2 linked regions of the Lonchura striata genome follow. The protein of the gene in region 1 binds, or shares a complex with, the protein of each later gene. Links are inferred from orthologs where the notes say so. Each region holds a gene or a part of one and is shown on either strand. Other genes may lie near its edges.

Region 1 (9,932 bases):
ATTGAAGGGCTGGAGTGTCCAGAGGTGGAAATGTCTGGAGAGCCTGAGGGAGCTGGGAAAGGGGCTCAACCTGGAGAAAAGGAGGCTCAGGGGGGACCTTCTGGCTCTGCACAGCTCCTGCCAGGAGGGGACAGCCGGGGGGTCGGGCTCTGCTGCCAGGGAACAGGGACAGGAGGAGAGGGAACGGCTTCAGGCTGAGCCAAGGGAGGTTTAGATTGGATATTGGGAAAAATCCTTCATGGGAAGGGTGCTCAGGCACTGGCACAGGCTATCTAGGGCAGTGCTGGAGTCATCGTCCAAGGAAGGGTTCAACAAGTGTTTAGACGAGGCGCTTGGGGACATGAGTAGAGGTGCACACGGCAATGCTGGGGGAACGGTTGGGCTCATTGATCTTGGAGATCTTTTCCATCCTCACCGATTGCAGGATCCCATGACCCCCCCGCTGCTTTGCAGGGCGCCCGCAGCAGCCAGCTCTACCTGCTGTGCCAGTACTCGCTGGGCTGCGGGGTGTCCTGCGGCCTCAGCTTCCTGCTGGAGGGGGCTCCGCACCGCAGCTGGAACCTGGCGCTGGCGGCGGGGCTGGCGGGGCTGCTGGCGCTGCACGCCCGGCGCCTGGCCCGGCACGTCTGCGCCCTGTACGAGCTGCACAGCCGGCAGCGCTACTGCGGCGTCTGCATCCTGCTGCTGGCCAAGGGCCACGGCATCCCGCGCCTGCTGCGCAGCGCCCTGGCCATCACCTTCGCCGTGGCCGACCTGGCGGCCGTGGAGCTCATCAACCGCGACTTCCTCTCCACGGGCGAGGCCGTGCGCTTCTGGACCCCGCTGACCATCTGCTACACCCTGCTGGTTGCCTACATGCAGGGTACGGGGGGCTCCGAGGGGCCTGTGGGATGTACTCGGGGTGTGTGGGGCCACTGGGGTGTACACCCCCACCTGGGGCTGTATAGGGGCAGACTGGGAGCCTGTGCGGAGTATATGGGGTGTACTGGGGGTATGCAGGGTGTCCTTATATAGGTAGTATATATAGTATGTGCTGGGGGTGTGTAGGGGTATATGGGGCATGCCAGGGGTCTGTAAAGGGGTATATGGCACATTTTGGGGGTGTATAGGGGTATATGGGGCATTCCAGGGGTCTGTAAGGAGGTATGTGGTACATTCTGTGGGTGTATAGGGATATATGGGGCATGCCAGGGGTCTGTAAAGGGGTATATGGCACATTTTGGGGGTGTATAGGGGTATATGGGGCATTCCAGGGGTCTGTAAGGAGGTATGTGGTACATTCTGGGGGTGTATAGGGGTATATGGGGGCATCCTGGGGGTCTGTAAAGGGCTATGTGGTACATTCTGGGGGTGTATAGGGGTATATGGGGCATCCTGGGGGTCTGTAAAAGGATATGTGGTACATTCTGGGGTGTATAGGGGTATATGGGGCATGCCAGGGATCTGTAAAGGGCTATGTGGTACATTCTGGGGGTGTATAGGGGTATATGGGGCATGCCAGGGGTCTGTAAGGAGGTATGTGGTACATTCTGGGGGTGTATAGGGATATATGGGGCATGCCAGGGATCTGTAAAGGGCTATGTGGTACATTCTGGGGGTGTATAGGGGTATATGGGGCATGCCAGGGGTCTGTAAGGAGGTATGTGGTACATTCTGGGGGTGTACAGGGGTATATGGGGCACCCTGGGGGTCTGTAGGGGGTGTGTGTATATATATCCCGGGTGTACATAGAGGGTACTGGGTGGTACAGAGAGTACATGGGATGTCCTGGGGGTACCTGGGGCACCCTGGGACTATAAGAGGTACAAGGGCTGTCCTGGGGGTGTATAGGGGCTACATGGGCTATCCATGAAGCCACCCCATGCTTGGTGTCCCCGTTGTGGGGCTGCGGAGGTCCCAGCGTCCCCGCGGTGGCTCCCCAATGCCGCGTCCTCGCAGAGGAGTCCCGGCAGAGCACGGGCAGGGGGTCGGCGTTCCGGACCGTGCTGGTGCGGATGGGCGGCCTCTTCATCCTCCTCCTCACCGTGGGCCGATGGACCGACATCCTGCACGTCTTCGTGTCTCTGCTGGGGGAGCTCTGGTGCCTGCTGCGCTCCGGGGTGCTGCTGGAGTCCTGCTGGAGGCAGGTGAGAGGGGGGACACCTCCCTGCCACGCAGGGTGAGGGCTGGCAGCAGCCCCAGGGCCACGGTGAGAGGCTTTTTGGCTTCTCTCTTCCATCCCGGCCAGGATTTTGCCCAGCAGCCTCGCGTGGATAATCTGTCGGGATCCGGACCCGAGGAATCGTCCCGATGAGCCGCAGGGCGGAACCGGACAGCGGAAATGAACTCGGGGTGGCTTCGCTGGGCACCCCAGAATCCCCCCATCACAGATCCCCCGTGGGGAATAAGGAAAAAAGGGCTCCTGGAAGGAGTCCGACCCCATCCCATAGGATGGAGGAGGTTGGGGGGAAGGCTCATGTTGCCCCTGGTTTTTGGGGGGATTCCATGAGGTTGCAGCACTGCTGGGGTTTGTTCTCTGGTCCCAGTGGGATTGCAGGATGCTGATGGATGTCCCATCGTTGCTGGCAGCTGGGCCACACTGTCAGGGGCCTCCAGGGGATTATAAATCTCAGAAAATAAAGGTGTTTTTTTCCAGCAAAATCCATGGGCAGAGCAAGCTGGGGTCCCATTGTGCTGGAAAGGCACTTGGGATGGTGGCAGTGCAGATTGTTGAGGGAGGTGGGTGGAATTCCTCCTTGGGAAGGGAAGCTGAGGCACTGAGTGGGGTGACCGTCTGGCTGGGAGGTGCCCCTGTGCCTCAGTTTCCCCCTGGCTGCACCTCACTGTGCTGTGCAAGGGAACAACAGGCCCTGCGAAGGTGGGGTGCAGTGTGGGGAGGGGGGGTTCTGGCTGCCTGGGCATGGACTCCCAATGCAGGGAGGAGCAGGAGGGGGTCTGGGGGTGTTTGGGGCAGCGGGGGCTCTATAGGGGTTTATGGGGCATGCTGGGGCTCTAGGGGGACACATGGGTGCCCTGAGGGTACATAGAAGAAATATGGGGCTAACTCCGGCTGTATTGGAGGATAGGGGTTATCCTGGGGGTATATGGAGGTATTTCGGCTGTACTGGGGTACGCAGGCACCCCGGGGGTGTATGGGGGGCTCACAGGGCACCCCTTGGGGTTGGGTGCCCTGAGGGTGTGTGGAGCCCTCCGAAGGTCCATGGGAAAACCTGGGGGGGGGTAATCCCAGAGCATATGGGGCACCCACGGGACCATGGGTCACCCTGGGGTAGATGGGGCCCCCAGGGAGCGCTTTGGGGAGCGCGGGGCAGTCGGAGGGTGCATGGGGCACCCTAAGGACGCGTGCCCCACTCTTCCTCCGCCCGGGGCTGTGGGGCAGGCAGGGGGGAGGAGGAAGAGAGGTGGAAGAGGAGGAGGAGGAGGGAGGAAGGGGCGGTGATGCCGGGCGGTTCTGCCTTCCCGCTGCCCCCGCCGCGCCCGCGGAGCGCACGGAGGGACCCGCAGCCGCTGCCCAGGTCGGGGACACGGACGGGGACAGGGTCACCCCCCGAGAGGCCGCAGGGCCACCTCCGGGCAGGCGACACCCCTCCTCGCCCGCAAGGTACGACCCCCAGGTAGGAAACAGGGGCCACCCTCAGGTAGGGACCACCCCAGATGTGGGATTGGAAACCCCCCCAGGAGGGGACAGGGGACACCCCGATATGGGATACGGGATGGGATAAGGACCGAAGTCATCCTGGGGTGAGACAAGGGGACCAAGAGCCACCCCCCAGGAGGGGACAGGGGACACCCCGATATGGGATACGGGACCCCCACGGGATGGGATAAGGACCGAAGTCATCCTGGGGTGAGACAAGGGGACCAAGAGCCACCCCCACGGAGGGGACTGGGGACCCTCCCAGGGAGGGGATGGGGGCTCCCAGGCAGGGGGGACACGGTGGGGCACCGCTCCACAAGGGACAGGGCACTGCCAGGTGGGGGACGGGGAGCTGTGGGGCTGCACAGGGGATGCCCGGGGGCTGCAAGGCCACCCCCCAGGTGAGGGACAAGAGGACAGCGGGACTGCTTGGGGTGGGGGAAGATGGACACCAAGTGTTATGTACCCCCATCCCATCCCTTGTTCCTTGGGCGTCCTCGGAGCAGCCTGTGAGAGCTCCCAGGGCAGAGTCGAGGTGCAGCTCTAGAGGGCTGCGTCCCATGCCAGTTTTGGGGTTGTGGGGATACCCCATAAGTGGCCCTATTCCCATCAATCCCACCCGAACTTCCATCCCAGGAGATTTCAGGGAAACCAGGGGGGTTCCTTTCCAGTGTGGCCTCGGCCACCCCAAACCAGGGTGGAGCTACATGGGAAGGGGGGACCCCCGTTAATGCACCCCTCGAGCCTCGACCAGCCCGGTGGCCCCGGGCCAGGGGGATCATCCGGGGGGTGCCGCTGCCGGGATCCCGTCAGCCCCGGCACAAAGAGGAATGCGATGAGCACATGGTTCCTATTAACCCCGGAGAACTTTTTTTTTTTTTTTTTTTTTTTTTTTTTTTTTTTTTTAAATGATTGTTCTTTTCTTTTTCCCCTCAGTTTTCCGCAGTTCTGCTGGGGAGGAGGAAAAGCGGTAGCCCCGGCGGGTGAGGAGCTGGGCGAAGGCACCGGTAGCCGGCGGGGAGGGAGGGAAAGAGGGAGCAAATGATCGGGGTTCTTTTTCCTTTTTAATCCCTTCCTCTTTAATCCCTTGAGTCAGAGGCTGAAGTCACCAGCAGGAACATCGCGAAGCTTTTTGCCCACCTCGGGGAGTCTGTCTGCCCCTCAAAGGATGTGCTGACCCCCGTGAGTGAGATTTTGGGGGAGCAGAGCCGCATGAGACCGGGAACTCATCACACAGGTATCTTTCAAGCTGCCAATTCACCTCAGGGATGAATTCTGCTTCACCAACACAGCGCCCTGACTAAAGCCTCAGGGTCCCCCCCCTCAGTCCATTCCATTTGGGAAGGGGAAGCTTCGCCCCAGCTGCTTTTCCCCTTGGGAAGTTGGACAAACAGCCCTTTTCCTTCCTGAGCAGCGTTTCTCGGGGTCGGGTGCGTCCTGCCTGTGCTGCCGGGTGCTGCTCAGGGGATGTGTCAGTGTCGGGGATGTGGTGATTCACAGCACCACACCTCAGTTTTCCCACCTGGAAAAGTAAAAGAGGGGGATGTGCAGAGCTGGAAGTGATTGGCAAGGAATTGGGGATAAGGAGGGAGGGAATGGGGATGTAGAAAGATTTCAAAAAAGGGGTTGCAAAAGCAAAATCCCATAGCTGCCCTGTTTTATAAAAGGAAAGGTGGGTACTTCCTGCTGCCCATGGGGAGTTTAATCCCAGGTGGGTAGGAGCAATAAGAGGAAATACAGGAGATCCAAATGCTTATGAAAAGGTGGAATATGGCCACAGAGGTGTGAAAATGGGAGATATCAGCTGCTGTCAGGATTCTGTACCCTGTGTCCTCCCAGGCACGAGACCATTTATTGCTGTGACGTGGGATGGGACGCTTGTTCCTTCTCCCTTTCCGGGAGGAGGGAGGTGGGTTGATGCCGAAGGGCAGCACGGCTGCAGGAGCTGCCAGTGTGCCTGCAAGTTTTACTCTCTTTCTTTCTTATTTTCCCTAGAATCAACCCCCGATCTGGCCTTTCCATGGCTTCAGCAATGTTGCCAGGGAAAGCAGAGAAGAGAATCGCTTCATCCATTTTCATCACCCTCGTGCCACCACGGAGGGACGTGGCCACCAAGGAGAAAACCCAACGGGAGCTGCAGCCAGGTGATGCCAAGGTCCCTGGCGCTCATCACCCCCAGATCCTGCTGTCACCCCCCTCGCTGCCCTACAGAGGTGAGGGGTGTCCATGGGGGGCTGCGAGCGATGTGGAAGGATGGCAATGGGGCTGAGGAGGCTGTAGAGATGCTTTGCTAAAGGATGTGCGTGCGGAAGGGCATTTTGGGGTATGTTTTGGGGAGTTATTCCCCAAATCCCTGCATGCAACCCGGCATGGATCCGGCTCCTGGGGACGGGCTGTGTTTGCTCTCCATTGCTGGGTGCTTATCGGTGCTGCTTGTCTCCTCCTGCTTCGATGGCGTTTGCTTTTGGGGCAGGTCAGTGAGCGCTGCTGCAAAGCTGTTGGGGTGTTATTGTGACAGGGTGTTATTGTGACGGGGTGCTATTGGACATTATTGATCCCCTAAATCCCCCACATCTGTCTGTTGCTGCAGAAACCCACCCGGTGGCCCCTGTACCTGCACCCCCACCAGTCCTGCCCCTCTCTGAAGTGCCCCAGCCCTTGTCTGTGGAGCCGCTGGGTCTGGCACTGCAGCAACTGGACCTTGCAGCGCCCGCCACCCTCCAGGTGAGGATAACAGAGTGCAGCACCCCCCAGTGCCTCAGCTTCCCCACTAACGTGGCTTTGCCCTTCCCCACTTGCCAGGCCCCTTCCACCTTCCCTGCTGAATTGAAGCTGCCCACATTTTCCCAGGAGCAAGCAGGCAAGCGGCAGTGGCAGGATGCAAATGGGCACCCGGGGAGGGACAGCTCCAGAGGTAAGAGGAGACTCAGCTGTGCATGGGCTCATCCCCTCTTAGGGAAACTGAGGCACGCAGCTCCTAACCGCTCTCCCTGCTTCTTGCAGACATCTGTGCCTTCTGCCACAAAGCGCTGGGGCCCCGGGAGCCGACGGTGGAGGCGATGCGGAAGCAGTACCACCCTGAGTGCTTCACCTGCCGTATGTGCCACCGGCTCCTGGCTGGGCAGCGCTACTTCCAGAGAGACGGGTGCCCCACGTGTGACACCTGCTTCCAGGTACCCATCCATCTTCGGGGAAAACCAGCACACTCGGAACATCCCTCGGGGTGTGGGCTGGTGTCTTATGGCACGTGTTCCCTAAATTCCAGGCCACGCTGGAGAAATGTGCCAAGTGCCAGGGGCTGATTACGGAGCACATTGTCCATGCCCTGGGCAAGGGCTACCACCCCAGCTGCTTCTCCTGCGCTGGCTGTGGCCGGGCCATCGGCACCGAGAGCTTTGCTGTGGACAAACAGGGTGATGTGTACTGCGTGCCCGACTACTACAGGTTGGCCATGGGGGAGTGTCTCCCACGCTGGGAGCTGGGTTTGGCTCATCCCCTGCAGAGCTCACGCTGCTCCCGTTGGCTCCCATCAGGAAATACGCCGCGGTGTGCAGCGCCTGCGAGCGCCCCATTGTCCCCCGCGAGGACGAGGACACCTACAAGATCGAGTGCCTGGGACGCAGCTTCCACGAGAGCTGCTACCGCTGCGAGGTACGGCCCTGGGGGCTGAGGGGTCCCCAAAACCAAAGGGGTGGCACTGAACCTTAGCTGAGCATGGACACAGGGATGACAGCACCCATGACTGGGTTTTAGCCCTCAGTTTATCTTATGAGTAATGGGGAGGGGCAAAATAAATCAATTGGGTGGTGGTGATGTGTTTGGAGAACTTTAGCTTTGCATGCTTTTGATGTAGTTTGTCGCTTTTTTGGAGTGCTGGTGGGTTTTGCAGGGAAAATAGGATGTAACACACACAGGAACCTCTAAAAGGTGGCTTCCTTTCCCCCTCCTGCCCCCAGAGTTGTAGGATGCCCCTGTCACCGGAGCTGACAGAGAACGGGTGCTACCCCCTGGACGACCACCTCCTCTGCAAGTCCTGCCACATCCACTGGCGCAACGAGTCGTCCTGCTGAGACCCTGCAGCTCATCAAGATCTTCCAGTGCACCAAAAAGGGGGTGCCCCCAGTGGGATCCACCCCATGGCCAACCCTGGGTGCCTGCTGCATCCCCAGATTACTGCAGAACTGAGTTTTCACCACAAAAATGTCCCCAGGCCCCTGACCTGGTGGGTTGGTTGGGTGGAGAACTGTGGATACGTCCCCGCACAGCTCTGCACTCATCATGAATATAAAATGCCCTGACAGAGCAGCAATAAGGACTGGAGGTTTTAGTCCTCATTTCTTTTTTTAAACTCCTTTTTCCGAAGGCCAGTTTGGTTTTCTTGGGTGGTGTTTCTTTCTTCTAAAGCTTCCTTGGCATTTCACTGAAATGTTTCTCTCTGTGGAGAGCTGTGGGCACTGATTTAGTTACTCGCAGTTAAATAAAACCCCAAGTTTTTAAACACTCATTTCTTTAATCCACCCTGCATTCCAAACCTATAAAATCCAAGTTTAAATTAAGGGAAAAAAGCCAGTTTTGGATTTTCTAGGCGTGGCGAGAATTGGTTCATAACCATTGATTTTAGGGTGCAGCGATATGGCAGATGCTGCTGCCACCCTGGGGAGAGCCGAGTGTTGTTTTTAGGGTGCATATGGGATCTGGCGATGTTTCGTGGTGTTGATAAAAGGGGTTTTGGTGTGGTTTCGGGTTTTTTTGCTGACTATCTATCCGGAGCCGGCAGAGGGCAGCCGGAGCACAGATTCCTCCATCAGGCAGTAAAACTCCAGCTAAAAGCATCCCGCAGGGCCGGGACGCTGGGAAAGATGGACAGCCCGCTTTCTGCATATTATCCAAGATTATATCGCTCTGCCAGTGGAAACTTTTTGATCTCCTCTCAGTCCAGGCCTCAAACCAGCAGAAATTAGACCATTTCTCGGCGTGCCCAACATCTGTGCAACTGATGTTGGCGGCACTTAGTGGTTTTGTTTGCGAGGGCGCTGCAAACCAGGCGGAGAAACTTCGTAACTTTCTTTTTAACCGAAAGTGTTTAAAAAGCCACAAATCAAGAGCAGAAAATAGCATGCGCATGCGAGAAAATCTCATGAGCATGAGATGATGTTTAATGATTTCCTGATGGAAAATGGGAGCTGCAAACAAAGAAAACAACCACCAGACCAGCAGCTCTTGGATCACATACATCTCTGGTGTGTGCTCTGTTTGAGTGGAGGGGTTAATGATAGTTAATTAATCACATCAATAACTATTTCCTGATGACTCTTCCCTATCTACAAAGCTGATTACTCAGTGTTTTTTAATGAGCATCTCTGGGCCATCAATCAGATCATAACTTGCTTTAAATGTATTTATAAATAAGTTGTGGTCTGTCCTGGACACATAAGTTGGTGGCTTTGGGTCCAGTTGGGTGGGAACTCCTTGTCCCATGCCAAGGAATTCCTGTGCTCTGAGTCACCTCTCACTTTCCAAAGCTTCTTGCACTGTGAGGAAAATCTGGCATCAAAATAATGCTAAAAAAGTAAAAGGATGTGGCAGTGGCCAAAGGGAGCAGGAAAAAGAAAGCCCAGAGGGCAAAGGGCTGTTTGCATTTTGTAATATGGATATGTTTCCACTCAAGGTTTTTGGGGAGGATGGAAGTGCAATGCTGAGCGGTGTTTTGGATGTGTTATTGCAAATTGCACTACTCTTCCACAGAGGAATGGTGGGAAGGAGTTGGGTATTTCCCCCTTGGAGCCTTCCAGGATGGGCTGTTGGCACTGGGACTGCAGAATTTTTGGCTGGAGACAGGCAGGGAAATGCTTTTATTTACAGGCAGCCTTGGAGAAGGTCCTGGAAAGCAAGGAGAAAGGAAAGGCACCGCTGGAGCGTTTGGCAGCATGGTGAAGGGATGTGGCGTGGTCAGATTTGACGTGGTATTTCAGGAGCGGAGGGTGACAAGGGACAGGGATACACGGACACAGGTAAGAGGACAAAAAGGCTGATTTAAGGCATCTTCCCGGATAAAGGGAGAAGCACTACGAGCTGAGGCTTGGGGAGCATTGCTTTGCCTGAAAAGCACAGCCCCGTGTTTTCCCTTGGGAGGAGCTCGAGGAATTCTGAGCCGCATGCAGGAGATCCTGCAGGGCTGGGGCTGGATCCTGTCCCACTGCCATCGGCTGCAGTGGCTCAGCCTGTCCTTGGCCTCCTCACCCCATCACGAGAACTTCTGCAAGCACCCAGGTCTGCAGAAGTAAACCAACCACAC
Region 2 (9,719 bases), on another chromosome or scaffold:
CAGCCCCAGAAGAACATGACGGTCACCCCCACTTCCAGCTCCACCAGACCCCAGTGGTCACCCCAACTCCTACAGTCCCACCAGAGTACAGTGGTCAGCTCCTTAAGGTCCAGAAGGTCACCCCAATCCTGCACCCCAGCAGCCCATGGTGGTCAACCCAACTCCCAAAGCCTCAGCAGAACGTGTTGGTCATGATATCTGAGCCCTACCAGACCTTGGTGGTCACCCCAACTCCCACGGCCCCAGGAGATCACTGTGGCCACCTCTGGCCCCAGTAGCCCCCAGTGGTCGCTCCATCGTCTCTGGCCACAGCAGCCTGAGCGCCCCATGGTCCCCTCGTACCTCCGGTGGCCCCTGCAAAGCCCTCAAAGGCACACATGTGCTTCCCGAAGACAAAGTATCCCTGGGAGCTGGCGATGAAGACGGTGAAGATGCAGAAGACGCAGCACATGAGGCCGGCAACGGAGATGTTCACCAGGATGTAGTTGAGCGGCTGCCGCAGCTTCTTGTACTTGATGGTGACGATGAGGACGATGGCGTTCAGGGGGGTGCCCGCCACGAACACCAAGCCCATGAAGATGGTCTGCAGGTAGAAGGCCCACACGGGCGCGATGTGGTACTGGGGCCCATCCCAGGGCCCCACCGACGACTGGTTCTTGAACAGGTAGAACTCTTCCTCGTCCATGGTGGCGCTGGCGGGGGGGGCGCCCACCCCCCTGATATACCCTGCGCCCCCAAAGCTGCTTAGGGGGGATCAGGGCTCAGCCCGGCCAAACTTGGGGATTAGGGTGGGCTAAACCGGGCTCAGCCCCTAATCGGGCCCCTGAGCCGGGTGAGCCGATTGCTGGTGCTCTGGAGGATTGGGGGGGGGGGGGGGGGGGCAGAAGGGCTCCCCCCAACATCTGGGTATGGGGAGGGTCCCCAGGGGGCTCCAAGCTTGATCCTGCTCCTCCTGAGGTGTTCAGGTGTCCCCAGGTGTTCCCAAGCCCAAGGCTTGGTCCCCAGCCTTAGTTCTGATCCCACCAGGGTCCTCAGTGTGCCCCAGGGGGTCCCCAAGCTGTGTCCTGGTCACCCCCAGAATGGCCAGGTGCCCCTAGGATCCCCAGGGGTCCCCAGGTGCTCCAGCCTTGATCCCACTCCCCCAGGGTGCCGCAGCCCTGGATGCTTTGGGAAGAACTTGGAGTTTCCTCATGAACTCACCCGCTGCCCCCCACCCCAGCACCCCAGGGTGCCCCCCAGGTGTCTCCCCTCTCAAGCAATTGTCCCCAGTTCTGGGCTTGGGGCATCCCTGTGCTGGGGAGACTCCAAGTGAGGTGTAGGAGTCTGGGGGTATCAAGGGGTGGGGGGAAGACTGGGGGGGCACTGCTTGAGGTGGGGTGTCTGAGAGGGGGTGTTCATTTTGGGGGTGCAGTGACAGGGGGTCATGGATGGGGGGTCACTTTGGGGGTGTGCTGCTGGGACTTGAGTCCCAGAAGACTCCCAGCGTTTCCTGCCCTCCCACCCCCCTCTTTCCCTCCCTCAGCCTGTGGCACCCCCGGGGAACAGGAAGGATGAACAGAAGCTGCTTAGGGAGGGATTACAGTGCCCCCCCGGGCTGGGGGCGCCTATAAAGGCTGGTGCAGGGACCTCACTGTGGCACCCCGGGACCCCCAGGGAAGGGGGATCTCATTTGTGGGGAGGGGGACACCCTCAGGGAACGCTGTGCCCTGAGTGTGTGGGGGGTGCCCACCCTGGGGTGTCCTGGGGCACCCTGAGCTTCTGTCCAGCTCTGGGTCAGAGATGGGGCCAGGGAAGGAACAGGGGGATTGGCTGGGCTGAACCCCCAGCCCATGTTTTACTGGGCTGTACTGGATCATACTGGCCTGTACTGTACTGGTTTGTACTGGGCTGTACTGGACTACATTGGGCTGTACTGCACTGTATTGTGCCATGGCATTGCACTGTGCCCTGTTGGGTTGTACTGGGTTTGGTCATACTGTACCAGGCTCTACCGGGCCGTACTGGGCTGTACTGGGCCGTACCGGGTAGGGTCAGCTCTGCTGGTGCTCTACTAGGCGTCCCATGGAGGGGCACCCCCAAATGGGTGCTCCAGGGTGGTGTCCCAGGGTGGTGCCCCAGGGTGGTGACCCAGGGGACAGACACCCCACAAAGGGTCCCCCCGCTGTGTCCCCTGTGGAGCCGCGGCCACTGTGGGCACTGTGGGCTGCGGAGAGGGCTACAGCGCAGGGGCTGTGGGGGACGGCAGAGCTGGGGCACGACGGAGCTGTCAGCCTCGGCAGGGGCTGCCCGGGGGGGTTTGGGGTGCCCATCCCCACAGGTGTCCAAGGGAGGCCTGGAGGTGGCACCCAGGGTTCCGGGACAAGGAGAAGTCAGGCACAGCTTGGACTCCATGGCCGGGAGGGCTTTTCCAGCCTCAGGGGCTCTGTGGTTCTGTGATTCTGGGATTGTGGATGGAGCAGGGAAGGGACTTGGGGGATGCTGGGCATGGAGCTCCGGGGCCTGCAGTGGTGGTACTGCCCTGCCAGGACCCCCCACACCACCAGTGCCCACCACCAAGCCCCCAGCACCCACTGGTACCGGCAGCACCACCTCCACACGGGACCCATGGCCCCCCAGGCCCCCCAGTGCTCTGTCTCCAGCCCCATGGCCCCCGTGGGACTCCTAGGGCCTCCAAGTCGCTGCTCTTGTGCCCTCCTGGATGTGGCCCCACACATGTCCCTGCTGTCCCCATGGCCACGTTACCTGTGTCCCACTGTCCATGTACCCCTCGTTCTCGTGTCCCTTATGTCCCTCAGCCCTGGCCCCATGTCCCCATGGCCACGTCCCCAGTGCCCCCCTCTTCCCCTCTCTGTGCCCCCAGGCTGCCGATGACCCCCTCCCCATGTCACCCCACCCTGAGGACCCTGAGTGCTTCCAGCCCCAGTGTCCCAAGGAAACAGCTGGGGACAGGCTGGGGGGACGCTGGACTCAGGATGTCACCACGGGCAGCAGTGTTTCTGCCCTGTGTCCCCTCCCCAGGAGACACTGGCGGGGTCAGGTCCTTTGTCCCCTCGTGGCCTCCACCGTCATCTTCCTCTGCCCTGGCTGTGGCAGAGCCGAGACCCTGGGGGACACTGGGATCCCCCTGGGTCCCCCTGACCTGCCCCAGCAGCATCCTGAAACCCCATCCTGGAGTGCACTGACCCCCCCGCAGTGCCCTGACTGCTCAGAGCCCCCTGGACCACCCTCGACCTCCCCAAACATCCTGACCCCCCCAACCCACTCGCTCCCCTTCCCACACCTGCCAAGGGCTTGGGGGTCCTGGTGAGGGACCCTGTCGCGTTTTGCCCCCACCCCTGTTGGTGCCCCCCCGGCCCCTGCCCCAGGTATTTTGGGTGATGATGTGTTGGGGGCGCCCCCCCGCGTGCCCCCCCGGGTATTTTGGGTGCCGGTGCGTGGCTCTGACTCGGCAGGTTATTTTTAGGTGTTGGCGCAGGCGCCACCGCGTCACCCCCCCCACGTCACCCCCCCACGTCACCCCTTGTCACCCGTTGTCACCCCGGGGTGCACCCGCACCGCCCCCCCTTCCCTTGGAAGCTTCCAGGCAGGCACCGGAACAGGGGGAACACGATACTCCCCAAATCGCCCCCCCAAAGGACCCAGATGTGGGTCACCCGAGTGTCCCCCTGCCCCTCCCAAGGGAGCTGAGGAGGCCGCGGGTGTCTGGAAAGGGGGGAGGGGCACAAGAGAGATTTGGGGGGCAGAGGGGTTTAGGGTGCACCCCAAATATGACCGAACCCCCTCCCCAGGCTTGTGCCATTGTCATGGGGAAACTGAGGCATGGCCAGGGGGACCCACGGCTGGAGTCACCGGAGGGAGTGGGGTGCAACCGAGGGGACTGGGTGGGGGTTCCATGGCAAGAGTGGTCCTGGGGGGGGGGCTTCCCCAGAGGGGATCCTGGGAGGGTTTGTGGGATCTCAGTTGTGCCCCTCGGGGCTGGGGGAGAGTTTTTATGTGTTTTTCAGGGGTTCCCAAGGGGAAAGGGATGAGTGAGGGGGTTCGAGTAAGTTTTGGGGGCGTCTTTGGGGGGGTTTTGGGATGCGTTGTGCTGTGGGGTGCCTGGGATGTTTGGGAATTAAGGTACAGGTGTATCAGGATAACAGGGTGTTGGGCTGCCTGGGCTATAGGGTGCTGAGGTTTTGGGGTGTCGAGGTTGCAGGTATTTGGGATTATTATGGGTGGATTCTGGATTTTGGGGGGCCAGAGTTTCAGGGGTGTCTGGGTGCTGGGATTTGAGGTACCAGGGTTTCAGTGTAGGGAGGCTGGGGTGCCTGGGGGCCGAGGTTTGGGGGTGCTGAGGTTTGAGGGTGCCAAAGTTTAGGCGTGCCGTGGTTCAGCGTGCAAAGTTTGGGGGTGCCAGTGTCTGGGGGCAGGGGGTTCTGAGGTGGCAGAGTTTAGGAGTTTATGACACTGGACTTCAGGGAATTCGGGGAGTTTTGGGGTGTTGGGGTGCCAGCGTTTGGGAGTTGGTGGGTGCTGGCGTTTTGGGGTGCTTGTGTTGGTGAGTGTCGGTGTTTTGGTGGGCCGGCGTTTGAGGTTACAGCGGTTTTAGGGATGTCAGAGATTTTGGGGTGCTGATGTCTGTGCGTTTTTGGAACTGCCACTGTTTGGGGGTTTTGGGAGTGCCGCGGTTTGGGGGAGCTTTGGCCCGGGAGTCCTGAAGTCGGGGGGCTCCGGGGTGTGCTGGGATCCGGCGTTTTGGGAGGTGCCGAATTCCGGGGTTTTGGGGGTGCCGGAGTCCGGGGGTCCGAGGTTTGGGGAGCGCCGAAGTCCGGCGGTCTTGGGGGTGCCGGTGTCTGGGGCTCCGGGAGTGAGGCCGGGGCTGTAAATAGCGACGGCCGGACCCCCCACCCCCGGCCGCTCGGGCGGTCTTTCCGTCCCTCCTGCTCGGTCCCTCCCCGGGACGGGGCGGGCCGGGCCGGGGCAGCGCTTAAAGCCGCCGCCGCCCCCGGCCCCGCCACTTGCCGCCGTCGCCCCTGGCCCAGGAGCGCTCCTGGGACGCCTCGCGAACACACGGGAGCCCGCCGCGAACGCCGCTCCGGGAACTAATCGGGAACCGACCCGGGAACCTACCGGACCCCCCAGCCCTCCGGGACCCGCCGCTCCGCTCCGGGAACGCACCGGGAACCAACCCCACCACCGGGAACTTGCACCGGGACGGACCCAGGACACCAGCCCCCGACCCCGGGAACAGGAAACCCTAGCCAGGACACCAGTACCGAGCAGCGAACCCCTCTCGGGACACCGGCACTGAGACGGGACCCCGTCCTCAGGCACCCGTCCTGACCCCGGGGACCGGGACCCTCCCTGGGCGCCGGGACTGACCGAGGACACCGTCCCCCATCGCCGGGAACTGGGACCCCATCCAGGACACAGACACCCACCCAGGAACCGGGACCGACCCAGGACTGAATCTCCCAGCACCGGGACCCCATAGCGGGCACCAGCACCCACCCAGGGCCCCGCCCGGGACACCAGCTCTGACCCAGGACACCGTCCCCAACCCAGGACATTGTCCCCCAGCGCCAGCTTTGCCACCGGGACCCAGAACCCCACCCCAGGCATCCACAGGACACCGGCACCGCCTTGGGACCCACACCCACGGTGCCAGGATCCCTTCAGGACACTGGGACTGACCCACGACCCCCGCCCAGCACCAGAAGTGAGCCAGGGCTCCCCCCCAACCCTCTCAGGACTCTCCACACCACCCAGGAACCCCTCTGCCCATCGAGGACCCACCGAGCCCTCCAGGATGAACTCTACTTACGAGGCAGCACCGGGAGAGGACCCCGAGGAGCTCCCGGCCACCGAGAAGGACCTTGCAGAGGACGCGCCCTGGAAGAAGATCCAGCAGAACACGTTCACGCGCTGGTGCAATGAGCACCTCAAGTGTGTGCAGAAGCGCATCGTGGACCTGCAGCGCGACCTGAGCGACGGGCTGCGCCTCATCGCGCTGCTCGAGGTGCTCAGCCAGAAGAAGATGGGGCGCAAGCACCACCCGCGCCCCAACTTCCGCCAGATGAAGCTGGAGAATGTCTCGGTGGCCCTCGAGTTCTTGGAGCGGGAGCACATCAAGCTCGTGTCCATCGGTGGGTGTGCAAGGGAAGCGGTGTCCGTGGGTGGGTGGGCACAGGGCGGGTGAGGGTGGAAGGGGAATGGGAACGGTGCTGGAGGGTGGAAGGGGAATGGGAACGGTGCTGGAGGGTGGAAGGGGAATGGGAATGGTGCTGGAGGGTGGAAGAGGAATGGGAACGGTGCTGGAGGGTAGAAGGGGAATGGGAACGGTGAGCGGGCAAGGGCAGGGCCAATGGACAAATGGGAATGAGGAATGAGTGTGTAAGGGTGGGCATGATGTGGGGATGGGAAATTGAGGGAGAGTATACGAGGGTAGGGGTGGACAAGTGAGGATGTGGATGAGTGTGTAAAGGGAGGGGAGGGATGGGTGTGAATAGGGTGAGAGTGCAAGGGTGGGGAGTGGAGGAGTGTGAGTGGAGAATGACTGTGCAAGGAGCATGATGGACAAATGAGGATGGGGCCGTGGGTGAGTGTGCAAGGGTAGGGTGATGGATGAATGGGAATGAAGGATGTGTGCAAGAGTGAGGCCGACGGACAGATGAGAATGGGGATGCATGTGCAAGCGGTGGGGTGGCAGGAGCAGGAGCGGGATGAGCGTGCGAGAGCGGTGCAGCAGTGGGAATGGGGTGAGCGTGCAAGGCTGGCGGGGCTGCGGGCGAGTGTGCAAGGGGTGAGTGTGCGGGGGCGGCGCGGTCTGCGGGCCGACCCTCGCAGGGCGTGCGGAGCGGGGGGGCCCGGCCCGTGCAGGGCCGCGCAGGGGGGCTGAGCTCACGCTTGGCTCGGGGCCGCGGCGCTGAGCTCACGCGCGGGGGGGCCCGGCCCGCACACGCACCCACCCCTCGCGGGGCCTCAGCGCCCACCCCCACCCGACAGCTGCAGGGTGACCCCCCCCGCGCACACGTCCGTGCGCGGCCCCCCTGGCACGCCCGGACCCGGGGGGTGCGAGACCCCCTCCCGCGGTGTCGCCGCCCCCTCCCACGCGCGTCTTTGCCCCCTCTCGGGACGCCCCCAGATGTGACCCCAAGTTTTGGGGAGCTCCCAGGTGCTGCCCCCCCGGAGCACCCGGCGGGGAGGGGTTTGTCCCTCCATCTCCCCCATTTCCTCCCTGAAACGCGATCGCTCGTGGGGGGAAGTGGCGGGGGAAGGAGCGGGGGAGGGTCAGCTCCGCAGGGCGGTGGGGGAGGGACCGGGATGCCTCGGACCCCCCTCCCCCCACAGCCGTCCCCTGCCTCAGTGTCCCCCTTCTGGCACTCCAGGAATCCCTTGGGAAGGTCAGGGGTGTGGCACTCCAGGGCGCTCCCTTGGGGACCCCGGCTGCTGCCAGGGTTGTGCCCCCCCAGGCACTTCCCGGGGGTGCTGGGTCCCCGCAGGGTGAAGTGCTCGGCATGGACAGGGCGCAGTGTCGTGGGTCATCCCTCGCTTCTGTGCCCCGGGGTGTCCCCAGGCAGGTGTTGGGGTGCAGCGTCCCATGGCACCGCCTGGGGTGTCGGGGTGCCCCGAGACGGGTGCTGGGGTCCGCCCGTTGTGCCGTGGGATGTCGGGGTGTAGGGGTCCCTGTGGTGGTGCTGTGGGGTTTGGGGGTGCCCCAGCCGAGTCCCCCCATTATCCCCATTCCCAGAGACAGCCGGGACACGACCCTGAAGCTGATCCCGGGGCCACAGCTGTGCAGGTGCGAGGATCCCTCCAGCGGGTCCCAGGATGTCGGGGTACCCCGGGGGGAGTCCCGAGGGATCTCGGGGTTCAGCCTCCCCGTTTCTCCCCCACAGACAGCAAAGCAATCGTGGACGGGAACCTGAAGCTGATCCTGGGGCTGATCTGGACACTCATCCTGCACTATTCCATCTCCATGCCTATGTGGGAGGAAGAGGAGGACGACGAAGGCCGCCACCAGACCCCCAAGCAGCGGCTGCTGGGCTGGATCCAGCACAAGGTGCCGCAGCTGCCCATCACCAACTTCAACCGTGACTGGCGCGACGGGAAAGCGCTGGGAGCGCTGGTGGACAACTGCGCCCCGGGTGAGGAGCGCGGCGGGGCGGGGGCGTGGGGGGACAGATGGGGGGAGAACTGCGCCCCGAGTGAGGGTACGAGGTGCAGGCTGGCTCGGGGGGCACCGATGGAGATGTTGGGGGCAGCAGGCGCAGAAGGGGGAGGTGGAGGACGGGGGTCAGGACAGGGGTGCGCCCCTGACCCTTCTGGCCCTCCAGGTCTGTGCCCAGACTGGGAGAAGTGGGACCCCAACAAGCCGGTGCAGAACGCTCGGGAGGCCATGCAGCAGGCAGACGACTGGCTGGGAGTCCCCCAGGTACGGGCATGCTGGGGGGTGTGGGGGGCACTGCGGGTCTACAGGTACAGGGTGGGGCACTGGCACTCGTCCAGGTACGGTGCAGGGCAGGAACGGGTGGGGGGCACTGGGAGAGGGTGCTGGGGGTGCAGGGGCGTGCCTGGGGAGTGTCCTTGGGGATCCACAGGCCATTTGGGGTACCCCATGGCTCCTGTGGTAGGGGTGTGGGGGGTTCCCCAGCAGGGCAAGGAGGGCCTGATGGCTGTTGGGGTCTCAGGAGGGTCAGGGAGTGTCGGGGGCCCCTCCTGGTAGTGGGCTGCGTGGTGGGGGTTCCCCGGCAGGGTCTGACAGGTGTTGGGCTTCCCTGCCAGGTGATCGCCCCCGAGGAGATTGTGGACCCCAACGTGGACGAGCACTCGGTGATGACGTACCTGTCCCAGTTCCCCAAGGCCAAGCTCCGGCCCGGGGCCCCCGTGCGCCCCCGTCTCCCTGAGCCCGGCCGTGCGCGCGCCTACGGGCCCGGTATGGGGGCTGAGGGGCTCGGGGGTCGTGGGCAGCTGGGGTCCCAGGGGGGCAGGAAGGGGTGGAGGTTTGAGGGGCACCGGGGGGGCTGGGGACCTGGCACAGGTGGGAACAAAAGGGGCACGGAGCGGGGACTTGGGGGGCTTGTCAGCACAAGAGGGTGTCTGGGGGCTCTGGCTGTCAGGGCATGAGAGTAAACCATGGCCTCCGCAAGCCAGGGACTCCTCTCCAGTCCTGGGGTGTCACCTGTGCCCAGGGACACCCGAGGGAAACCCCAGGGTCTCCACTCCCCACCCAGGGCTCCCCAAAAGTCCCGCTATGCACAGAGACTCCCCAAAGGCCTATCAGACTCCCCTGCCCATACTCAGGAGACCACCATTGACACTCTGGAACCCCCTGCTACCACCAAGGACAACCTGGGACCCAAAACCCTGGGGGGTTTTGGGGGGCTGTGGCCCCCTTTGACTCCCCCTACCCTGCAGGCATTGAGCCCCAGGGGAATGTGGTGCTGCGCCCTGCCCAGTTCACAGTGGAGACCCTCGAGGCAGGCATGGGAGAGGTCCTGGTCTATGTTGAGGACCCCGAGGGACACACTGAGGAGGTACAGGGGGCCCTGGCCCCCCCTCAGGGGTATCCCCCCCCATCTCCCCCTCTGGGAGACCTCCCTGTGCCCCAGCTCTGTGTCACCCTCTTCCCCCGGTTTTGGGGTCTCTTCCCACTGCAGGCCAAGGTGGTCCCCAACAATGACAAGAAGCGAACGTACAGTGTCACCTACGTCCCCAAGGTTGGGGGGCTGCACAAG

The links.
Region 2: the proteins of FBLIM1 (region 1) and FLNC are in contact, whole or in part, in an NMR structure (PDB 2K9U), measured with the Homo sapiens proteins. The link is inferred for Lonchura striata from reciprocal best matches to the Homo sapiens genes FBLIM1 and FLNC. Residues at the interface, in NP_001337080.1 of Homo sapiens: Arg8, Val9, Ala10, Ser11, Ser12, Val13, Phe14, Ile15, Thr16, Leu17, Pro19; in NP_001449.3 of Homo sapiens: Thr2339, Ala2344, Gly2345, Gly2346, Leu2347, Ser2348, Ile2349, Ala2350, Val2351, Glu2352, Gly2353, Pro2354, Ser2355, Lys2356, Ile2359, Phe2361, Asp2380, Glu2382, Phe2387.

What each region holds. Positions count from the first base shown.
Region 1 is NC_134626.1:6,424,171-6,434,102, forward strand, and holds FBLIM1 (filamin-binding LIM protein 1), read left to right. Parts: upstream 1-5,657; coding exon 5,658-5,850; intron 5,851-6,227; coding exon 6,228-6,361; intron 6,362-6,439; coding exon 6,440-6,551; intron 6,552-6,640; coding exon 6,641-6,810; intron 6,811-6,902; coding exon 6,903-7,081; intron 7,082-7,170; coding exon 7,171-7,288; intron 7,289-7,593; coding exon 7,594-7,707; downstream 7,708-9,932. Other genes in the region: TMEM82 (transmembrane protein 82), read left to right, coding at 454-862, 1,939-2,126, 2,228-2,293. UniProt on the Homo sapiens protein: Serves as an anchoring site for cell-ECM adhesion proteins and filamin-containing actin filaments. Is implicated in cell shape modulation (spreading) and motility.
Region 2 is NC_134607.1:73,108,243-73,117,961, forward strand, and holds the start of FLNC (filamin-C), read left to right. Parts: upstream 1-5,011; 5' UTR 5,012-5,791; coding exon 5,792-6,128; intron 6,129-7,880; coding exon 7,881-8,129; intron 8,130-8,318; coding exon 8,319-8,416; intron 8,417-8,766; coding exon 8,767-8,917; intron 8,918-9,399; coding exon 9,400-9,518; intron 9,519-9,641; coding exon 9,642-9,719. Other genes in the region: OPN1SW (short-wave-sensitive opsin 1), read right to left, coding at 343-685.